3 linked regions of the Oryctolagus cuniculus genome follow. The protein of the gene in region 2 interacts with the protein of the main gene of each other region in a biochemical or structural test. Links are inferred from orthologs where the notes say so. Each region holds a gene or a part of one and is shown on either strand. Other genes may lie near its edges.

The links.
Region 1: the proteins of FKBP4 (region 2) and GLMN form a complex in vitro, tested with the Homo sapiens proteins (2 studies listed by BioGRID). The link is inferred for Oryctolagus cuniculus from reciprocal best matches to the Homo sapiens genes FKBP4 and GLMN.
Region 3: the proteins of FKBP4 (region 2) and HSP90AA1 form a complex in vitro, tested with the Homo sapiens proteins (4 studies listed by BioGRID and IntAct). The link is inferred for Oryctolagus cuniculus from reciprocal best matches to the Homo sapiens genes FKBP4 and HSP90AA1.

What each region holds. Positions count from the first base shown.
Region 1 is NC_091438.1:78,356,390-78,360,039, forward strand, and holds part of GLMN (glomulin), read left to right. Parts: intron 1-1,079; coding exon 1,080-1,110; intron 1,111-1,212; coding exon 1,213-1,302; intron 1,303-2,355; coding exon 2,356-2,397; intron 2,398-2,500; coding exon 2,501-2,574; intron 2,575-3,609; coding exon 3,610-3,650.
Region 2 is NC_091440.1:106,513,233-106,515,828, forward strand, and holds part of FKBP4 (peptidyl-prolyl cis-trans isomerase FKBP4), read right to left. Parts: intron 2,342-2,596; coding exon 2,221-2,341; intron 1,951-2,220; coding exon 1,794-1,950; intron 1,302-1,793; coding exon 1,211-1,301; intron 1,125-1,210; coding exon 1,041-1,124; intron 843-1,040; coding exon 657-842; intron 185-656; coding exon 1-184. UniProt on the Homo sapiens protein: Immunophilin protein with PPIase and co-chaperone activities. Component of steroid receptors heterocomplexes through interaction with heat-shock protein 90 (HSP90).
Region 3 is NC_091451.1:45,357,095-45,360,844, reverse strand, and holds the start of HSP90AA1 (heat shock protein HSP 90-alpha), read left to right. Parts: upstream 1-1,567; 5' UTR 1,568-1,812; intron 1,813-2,276; coding exon 2,277-2,438; intron 2,439-2,528; coding exon 2,529-2,895; intron 2,896-3,086; coding exon 3,087-3,535; intron 3,536-3,623; coding exon 3,624-3,750. UniProt on the Homo sapiens protein: Molecular chaperone that promotes the maturation, structural maintenance and proper regulation of specific target proteins involved for instance in cell cycle control and signal transduction.

The sequences.
Region 1 (3,650 bases), on a different chromosome or scaffold from region 2:
GCACAGTGGGTTAAAAAAACTGAAAAGATTTTACATAACGGTCAAGTGGAATATAAAGTATTTTTTGTTTAAAGATTGATTTATTTATTTGAAAGGCAGAGAGAGAGAGAGAGAGAGAGAGAGGTCTTCCATCTGCTGGTTCACTCCCAGGTGTCCGCAGTGGCTGGAGCTGCACTAATCCAAAGTCAGGAGCCAGGAACTTCTGGGTCTCTGATGCGGGTGCAGGAGCCCAAGGACCTGGAGCATCTTCCACTGCTTTCCCAGGCCGTAGCAGAGAGCTGGATCAGAAATGGAGCAGCCAGGACTCGACCCAGCACCCACATGGGATGCCAGCACTACAGGCAGCTGCTTTACCCACTACACCACAGTGCTGACCACAAAGTATTGTTAACACTAGCTTTTGCAAATCTGTTGATTTGTCATCAGGAAATAAACTCTGAGCAGGCTAATTTTGATCTCCTTTGGATGTCAGTAGCTAAATGAAAAGATCAAAGTGGATTAAGAATTTTGGCAAAATCTTGAAGAGAAGTTCTTAATGTGTATTTTAAAAATCTTTACATTTCAGGCCGGCGCCGCGGCTCAGTGAACTCACTTTAACATGGTTACTTCTGTAAAAAAAAAAAAAAAAAAAAAAGGCCGGCGCCGCGGCTCACTAGGCTAATCCTCCGCCTAGCGGCGCCGGCACACCAGGTTCTAGTCCCGGTCGGGGCGCCGGATTCTGTCCCAGTTGCCCCTCTTCCAGTCCAGCTCTCTGCTGTGGCCCGGGAGTGCAGTGGAGGATGGCCCAGGTGCTTGGGCCCTGCACCCCATGGGAGACCAGGAAAAGCACCTGGCTCCTGGCTCCTGCCATCGGATCAGCGCGGTGCGCCGGCCGCAGCAGCCATTGGAGGGTGAACCAACGGCAAAGGAAGACCTTTCTCTCTGTCTCTCTCTCTCTCTCACTGTCCACTCTGCCTGTCAAAAAAAAATAAATAAATAAAAAAAATCTTTACATTTCAATTATTTATTTTCCTAAAGTGAAGAATTGTTCTAAACCAATTTATAAAATCATGTTGATATATTTTAACCTTCTCTTCCAGAACAGAAGAGTCTGTTTTCTCCAAAGGATTGGTAAGATGTCTTTATTCTCATTGTAATTTAAATACATAGTCGTGTCAACAATTATAGCTGCTGATTTCACCATGTGTGTATCTTCATAATTTTAATCTGTAGGAATTGCTGGAGAATGGCTTGTTAAGAATAGAGGACAACAGTCTCCTTTATCAGTACTTGGAAATCAAGAGTTTTCTTACTGTACCTCAGGTAAAAGCACCACAACAAAAGATACTCTAATTTTAACGCATCCTATTTTGAACTTCAGTAAAGTAAAGGTGTTTTCTGATCCTGCTTCCATTTTCTTCTGTTTATGTCCTTTGAAAGCGCTCATGCAGTGCAATTCAGTGGAACGCTGTGTGATGATGGATGTGTTCTGTTATCTGTGCTATATAGTGTGAAAGCCACTAGCTGCTTTGAACACTTGGAATGTGTGGCTAGTGTGATGAGGAGTTGAATTTTAAATTTAAATTAAATTTTGCCATGAGTGACTACCACAATTAGTAGCATAGCCTCCAGTGGAAAAGGATAACCTTATTCTTACACACTTTCTGTGAGAAGCTTAGTTAAAGAAACTCCTTTATTTTTCTCATAACTCAGATTCTCAGAACTCCATCTTTAGGAGTCTACACTGACCTATTACTGAAAAGGCTAATCCACATTTTGTTCCCTCCTGTGGTTAATTTTGCCTAGTACTCTTTGTTATGATATCCAAGTAGGTCTTTAGCTATGAGTATAGACATTTCATAATTAAATGGAATAACATGGCTGACTTTTGTTAATACAGCGATATTTCAGAAAATTCATGGAAAAATGGAATTAAAAGATACTTTTATTTGGTGCAAAATGTTTGAAATCTATCATGGTTTTATTGTATGCATTTTATATGAATCTTATGTATTTTATATGATATGTATTTTATATGATTCTTTGAAGATCCCCTTCATGTGTTAAGGCTGTTGATTTTTAATGAGTGGATTGCATTTCTGTGTTTGATTTCATGTTCTTACCACTCTAAACAATAAACAATTAAAAATATCACTCACTTTTAAAATCACACTTTGTAATATAACACTGTTACTTACAAAATTGATTATAGTTAGCCGTGTGGTAGACTTGGAATGGTAGAATGAAAGGCTCAGGGAAAAACAAATTTACTTCCACTTTTAACTTTCCTTCCTACAATTCTTTAAATTTTTAGTACCCAGTATTGATAATATGCTTGTTTGTTGTATCTGAATTAAAAATTTTTTTTGTTTCCAGGGTTTAGTCAAAGTAATGACACTTTGCCCTATTGAGACATTGGTATGTAAGTAATAATTGGTTACAGTGAGAAATTTTGATAAGTAACAATATTTTAAAATATTTTTTTCATTTTATGTTAACAATATGATTTGTTCCATTTTAGAGGAAAAAGGGTTTAGCTATGCTTCAGCTATATATTAACAAGTTGGATTCACAAGGCAAATACACATTATTTAGGTATGTATCAAGCAAGGGTAGTTGCTAAGTGTGTGGTTGATTGAAAGGCAAGTTAGCCTGTAATTATTCTAGCGTGTGGTATTTCAGTATGTCTTATGTGTAATTCAGCTGTAATTGGAAACCTCATTGTAATAAGTTCTCTTACCTGAGATAGGTAGAGAAGGGGTTTAAATACATATGTGTGTAGGTATTATAAGAATAATGTATATTTCAATTAATTGAAATATTTAAAACCTAAAGGTTTATGTATTATTAAATTAAAAAAAAAAGATTAAACTGAGATTGATAATACTCCTGCTAGAACTTTACATATGTAATGATTTCCATTGTTCACTGTTGAAATTAATGGCTCTGGAGTTATAACTGACAGGCCATTCATTTTAAGTTGATATTAGAGCTGTCAAATAGTGCTGTTTGTGGCAGAAAAGTTTTCTAAGTTTTCTAAGTTAAAGATTTAAATTCCCTGTATAGGGCCAAATAGTGAAGATAGGTGTTATGGGCCTCACAGTGTATTCCAGTTGCTCAGCTTTGTCTTTGTATTAGAAATTATTGTGTTCCAGTAAAACTGTTGTCAAAAACAGACAGGAGGCTAGATTTGACCTGCAGACCTAAGTTTGTCGGCCCCATTCTAGGTAATAAAAATGAGTTAAAAACAGATTTTGATAGTGGTGAAGTGCTACAGAATCTTCTTTGGGACGAGCTAATACTAGCACTCTTGATCCGACCTTCATTTCAATTACCAGTCAGAGCAGGTTTGTGAAATCTCAGTAACTAGTCCTTACACTGGCTTTCCTGCTTTCTTTCTGTATCTTGACCAAGGATTCTCCTCCTTTCTTGAGCTGGTCATACTGAATTTCCTTTCTTTGCTTAATTAATCTAGCCAGCACAAGTCTGCTTTTACAAGGAACAATTTGGGTAGTTTTTTAGGTTGTTAGACTGATGCTTATTCTTGCTGTGTTCAATTACTGCAAATGTATGCAGAGTAATTGTAATATAGCCTAGAGTAATTTCGTGTTTTGTGATTTTGCTTTTAAGGTGCTTATTGAATACCAGTAATCATTCGGGTGTAGAGGCCT
Region 2 (2,596 bases):
GGGCAATCTGCTTGCGGATCCGCTGCTGGCACACAGCCAGCTGGGCCTTAGCCGCTTTGTTGCTGGGGTAGAGCTGCAGGACCTTCTGGAAGTCAGCCCGTGCCAGGTCAAAGTCGTTCACAGCCAGGTGGGCCTCTCCCCGGCGGAAGAGGCCCTTCTCGTTGTTGCTGTCCAGTTCCAGGGCCTGAGGATGCGGGGAAGAGGCAGCACAGTGAGAGGGCAGGCCCTGAAGCCCGCCTGACCAAGGCTGGGCTCCACAGGATGAAGAGGAACGGAAATGGCTGACTCTAGCCCACAAAGAACAAGGTATGGCGCATTGAAGGGAGAAGACTGAGGTCTAGGTAGGAACCTCGATCATTCAGGAGGCAGAGGAAGACGACAGCAGGCATCTGGTCAAAGAGGAGGAAGGCTGCCACCTCCATTGTCTTTAGGATCAAGCCGGTGGATGAGAGGCTGGGAACCACGTTGGGTGAACACCGAAGTTCTTCCCACCCAGCGCTTCCCCCATCTCTCCCCACCAAAGCCAAGGTGCGTGCTACTCACAGCCCCCGACTCGGGGCTCATTGTCTCTGCACTCCCACCATTCCTGCCCTGCTCAGGAAGCTTCCTTGGCCCTGCCTGTGCTCGCTGCCTCCACAGCCTCTAAGGGGCCTCACCTTGTTACAGCTTTCCACGGCTGCCGAGAAGGCCTGTAGCTTCAGGTGACACATAGCCAGGTTGAGGTGGGAGGCCAGGCGCAGGGCCTGTGCCTTTTGCACTTCCTCACTGGAAAAACTTGACTCGTATTCCAGCCAAGACACAATCTTCTTGTACTGTAGCAGAGCCTGCTTGTACTTGCCTTCCTGCAGTGGGAGGGAGGGTTCAGGCACCCAGCACAGCTTCGGTGTCACCAGTCTATCACAACTTGTAGACACCTGTGACCCACAGGCAGGGGCCATCTCCTCCTCGCCCCTGAGACCACTGAGCTCAGACACAGCAGGTGCCAAGCCCCCAGGGCAGCCCTCCCAGGGGTGTGCTTAGCAGCGGCCCCGTCTGCTCACCTTGAAGTACACGGTGCCTCGCTCTTTCACGATGGCGCTCTGCTCCAGCTTCTCCTCCGAGCTCATCTCCCAGGACTCCTTGGCCTGCCAGCACCCAGGGGAGAAACACAGCTGTCAGCGCCCGCGGAATCTGCGCCTGGGTGGGCAGGGAAGACGCCGTGCAAACTCACCTTCTCAAAACTCTTGAGGTGGACTTCATATTTCAGCTCAGCATATGGCGGGATCTGAAACTTTTCCTTCCCAGCATTGCCAAACGCGTAACTGCAGGGTTAGAAAGGCTCCGGGTCAGCTCGGCAGCCCTAACGTTTCCCCCTTTCCTCTCAACTACCTCCCCACCCCATGCTTTCAGACCTGGGCCCATTGTTTCCTGTTTGGCAAAATGTTCCCTGACCTTGGTGGTCCCTTAGCATCTTCTGTGAGCACACAGTGGTACGACTACTAATTTAGGAAGGCAGGAACAATGTTCTGTTAGTCCCTGAACCTCGAGATTTTCAGCACCACTATCGTACCTAACAGGTGCATCTCAATAAATGGCGAGTGACTCAATTAATGGGAGATTAAAATCTTAATGTTGGCAGGAGACAATCTGCAGCAATGACTGAAAAGATATGCTTTGATCCAAGGCAGACAATCGTGGCCACGCTTTGACACACATGTGGTTGAGTTGCACCCAGCACACGAAGGGGAAAGGACACAAGTGGCCAGCTCTACAACTCATGGTCTGGCACTGGCTCTAGAGCACCCCCTGCTCACCTGGGCTTGAGGTACAAGATGGAATGTTCGCCTTTCTCCATGCGCTGAATGGCCTTCTCTAGCCCACAAGGCAGATCCAGACTCTCCCCCTCGCCGACCTCAAAGCGGAGTTCCCGCTGGTCAAAGAGCCGGTCCTTGTAGTACCCTTCCAGTGCGACTAGCATGCAAGAGGCAGTATGCCAGGGTGTGAGAGGGCAGGGGACCAAGGAAGGATGCCAGCAGCCTCCCTAGGTCACCCATCACTTCTTGTCCCCAAGATACCCCTGCTGTGGTCTCAGACCTGGAGGGATATTAAGAGTGTATTGTCCAATCCCAAACCTTATAGTTAAGAAAATAGGCTCAGAGAAGGGAAGTGACTTAGCCAAAACCATCTGGTCCCCAGGTGTGCATCAGTATCCAAATCCCAGACTCAGCGGAACTGACTCACCCTCCACAATAGCACCATCGTTGGGCCTAGCATAGCCTTCACCCCGAGTCCGTATTCTGCGGATGATTCCGCCGTCTTCGTCGTCTGTCAGATCCTCTCCCTTGAACTCAAACAATTCCACCTGTGGCAAAGACCCAAGATGACACAGATCCTTCCCCCACGAACTCCTCGATAGTGCACCACCACCTCGCCCTCAGCCAGGAGTCCCTAGTGAACGACCAGATGGATCTGACCACCAGGGCCTTTAACCAGAAGCTCTGTTGTTTCAATGATGGTGGTGAGTGCAGACCATGTGGATTTAAGTTAACTCAGGAGAGCCAAGGTCTGCTCCACTCCAAGAGGGCATGTTTCAGACAATCTCAATCCACCTTCCTTG
Region 3 (3,750 bases), on a different chromosome or scaffold from region 2:
TTACAAAGAAAAAAAAAGTTCATTTATTTGGAAGGCAGAGGGGAGACGCGGAGAGACGGACAAGTTGAGAGTGACCTTCCGGCCCCTGGAGCACCCCCCAAATGGCCACAGTGGCCAGGTGGGGGCCAGTCTGAAGCCAGGAGCCAGAGCTCTGTCCTGGGCTCCCACGGGTGGCAGGGGCCATCTGCCGCATCAACAGGAAGCCGGGCGGGAAGCAAAAGCAGCTGGATCCAACCGGCACGCTTATCCGGATGCCGCATCCCAAGCGGCGGTTTAACCCACCAGGCTCCAGGGAGGGCAGCTGGGGACCTGCCCCTGCTCTCCGCGCCTCCCCCTCCACTCCTCTCCTCCCCCGCAGGCTGGGCAAACCTGGGCCAGTCACATTCCTCCCCATTCACTTGTAGGAAACGCACATGAGGGCCGGGACCCGCCCGCGGCTGAAGGGGTCTGTTCCCACCTTTGCGACGCTCTGCACGCTGTGGGCTGCGCTCACGCTCCCAAGCGCTCTCCAACCTTCTCCTGGAAGAGCGGGTTTTCCTAGAGACCACGAGGGAGCGGAGCGGTCAGGTGCCTTTAGGTTGGGAGCGTCCAGCTGTTCCAGAGGGCCAGGCCCGTCGAGGGAGGAAGTGGGCCAACAAAGGGAGAGCTGGACACAAAGGCTCCGAGGGCCGGCGCGCTGAGCCGCGGCGTCCTTCCAGGGCAGACCCCGACGCTGACAGTGAGGACCCTACAGCCTGGATGTGGCTCTTATTTTTTTTCTTTTTTAACATTTATTTGAAAGGTAGGGTGAGAGAGGTCTTCCACCCGGAAGTTCACTCCCCAGATGGCCAGGCTGCAGCGTGAGCCAGGGACTCCACGCGGTCTCCCACGTGGGGAGGGCCCGGCCGCCGCCGCCCCCGCCCCGGGCTCCGAGCGCCCCAGTCCCACTTAGACCTGGCCTGGGGCGGCCCCCGGGGCTCCGGCGCTGCACGCCGCTGCTTCTCCGGAAGCGAAAGGCTACGGGTTTCCCGGAACCCCGGCGGCGGCGGCGGCCGGGCGAGCGTGGTTCAGCACCTGGGCACGGGGAGGCCGTGGCATCGGGGAGCCGGCCCGGGGGGCTTCCGCGGCCCTCGCCCTCCTCACGCCCGGCCTCGGGCCGCACCTCTGCGGAAGCCCAGGCGCCGGAACGCAGCCCTCGACCCGTAACCGCCGCCGCAGGCCCGCAGCACGACTCCAAAACCCAGTCCCCAGACACAGCGGACGACCCGGCCCGGCGACCGAAAGCTGGCAAGGCCTGCACCCCAGGCCGCTGCACCTTGCGCGGGCGACTCGTTGGGAGCGGCCCCGAGCTGTCATAACCCACGGGCCATTTTTTGCACATTTCACACTACAAGGGCAGGGACCTCAGGGCTCGACGCCCCCTCCCCCGCCCCGGCTCGCCCGGCGCCGCGAGGACGCATGCGCACGCGCCCGCGCTCGCGCCCGCGCTTGGCGGGCTTAGGAGCCCGGAAGGCGCCGAGCCCGCGCAGGCGCACAGGGGCCGGCGCGAGGGCGCGCGGCGGCGCGGGCGGGCGGGGGGCGCCCGCCGTTCCCTGCGCGGGGTCGTGCGCGAGCCCGGGGCAGGGGCGGGCCACAGCCAGGGCGCAGGCGCAGGCGCGTGGCCGCGGTGGCGGTTGGGGAGGGTTCTTCCGGAAGGTTCGGGAGGCTTCTCGAAAAGGCGCCGCGCGCTGGGCGGGCCCGCCTCTATATAAGGGCGGCGCGGGGGCGGCGCGCCAGTTGCTCCAGCGTCCCGGTGCTGCTGCGTCGCGGAGGCCGTGCGGTTCTTCAGCCAAGGTGAGGGGGCTGCGGGGGGTCTCAGGCCCGGGGGTGTGCGGGGGCGGCGGCGGGGAGCGGGGGCGGCCGGGGGCCCCCTCGGCCGCGGTGCCCGAGCGGCCGCGGTTCGGCCTCCGCGGCCGGGGCCTGTGGAGCCGCCTCCGGCGGGCCGGGGGCGCCGCGAATGTTCTGGAGAGGCCGCGGGGCGGGGGCGGGGCGGGGGCGCCGGTGCGGGGCTGCGGGGGGTGGCGCCCAGCCCCCGGCCGTGCCGTGCCGGCCGCCATGGCGGGGCCGCGGCCCGCGGAGGGCGGCCGGCGGCGGCGCGGGGCGAGCGGGGCCCGGCCGCGGCGTCCGCCCCGCAGCGCGCACGCTCCCGCGCCTGCCGCAGCTCGAAATGAGGTCATCCCTTTGTGAGGCGCCCGCGCCGGCCTCGGGGCGGGCGGCGGGGGCCGTGCGGCGCCTGATGGGCCTCGTGCCCTTGGCAGATGCCCGAGGAGACCCAGACCCAAGACCAGCCGATGGAGGAGGAGGAGGTGGAGACGTTCGCCTTCCAGGCGGAAATCGCCCAGTTGATGTCCCTCATCATCAACACTTTCTACTCGAACAAAGAGATCTTCCTGCGGGAGCTGATCTCAAACTCGTCGGATGTAAGTGGCGGCGGGGAGGAAGGGGCCCTGGCCTCGGGGGGCGGGGGTGGGAGGGCGCCGGCTGGGTGCTGAGGACTTGGGGTCTTCCAGGCTCTGGACAAGATCCGCTATGAAAGCCTAACCGACCCCAGCAAGCTGGACTCGGGCAAGGAGCTGCACATCAACCTGATTCCCAACAAGCAAGACCGAACCCTGACCATCGTGGACACGGGCATCGGCATGACCAAGGCCGACCTGATCAACAACCTGGGCACCATCGCCAAGTCCGGCACCAAGGCCTTCATGGAGGCGCTGCAGGCTGGCGCCGACATCTCCATGATTGGCCAGTTCGGGGTCGGCTTCTACTCGGCGTACCTGGTGGCTGAGAAGGTGACGGTGATCACCAAGCACAACGACGACGAGCAGTACGCCTGGGAGTCCTCGGCGGGGGGCTCGTTCACTGTGCGGACCGACGCAGGTAGGGGGAGGGGCGCTGGGCGTGCTGGCGAGGGGGCCGGGGCTGGCGGGGCCGGCCTCGCGGGGTTCCGCCGCCGCGTTCGCCCGGGCCGGCCTGGCCTCGCGGGGTTCCGCCGCCTCGTTGGCCCGGGCCGTGCTGGCCTCGCGGGGTTCCGCCGCCCCGTGCGACCCGGCGCGCTGGCTTCCCCGCAGGTGAGCCCATGGGGCGCGGCACGAAGGTGGTGCTGCACCTGAAGGAGGACCAGACGGAGTACCTGGAGGAGCGGCGCATCAAGGAGATCGTGAAGAAGCACTCGCAGTTCATCGGCTACCCCATCACGCTGTTCGTGGAGAAGGAGCGCGACAAGGAGGTGAGTGACGACGAGGCCGAGGAGAAGGAGGACAAGGACAAGGAGGAGGAGGACAAGCAGCCCGACGACAAGCCGGAGATCGAGGACGTGGGCTCGGACGAGGAGGAGGAGGAGAAGAAGGACGGCGACAAGAAGAAGAAGAAGAAGATCAAGGAGAAGTACATCGACCAGGAGGAGCTCAACAAGACGAAGCCCATCTGGACCAGGAACCCCGACGACATCACCAACGAGGAGTACGGGGAGTTCTACAAGAGCCTGACCAACGACTGGGAGGACCACCTGGCCGTGAAGGTGAGCGCCCCGCGCCCGGAGGGTGGCAGCCCGGCCCCGGCGCCGTCGCGGTGGTGGTGGTTGGCACCGGGCCTGTGTGTCGTTGCAGCACTTCTCGGTTGAGGGGCAGCTGGAGTTCAGAGCGCTGCTCTTCGTCCCGAGACGAGCCCCGTTTGACCTGTTTGAAAACCGGAAGAAGAAGAACAACATCAAGTTGTACGTTCGCAGAGTCTTCA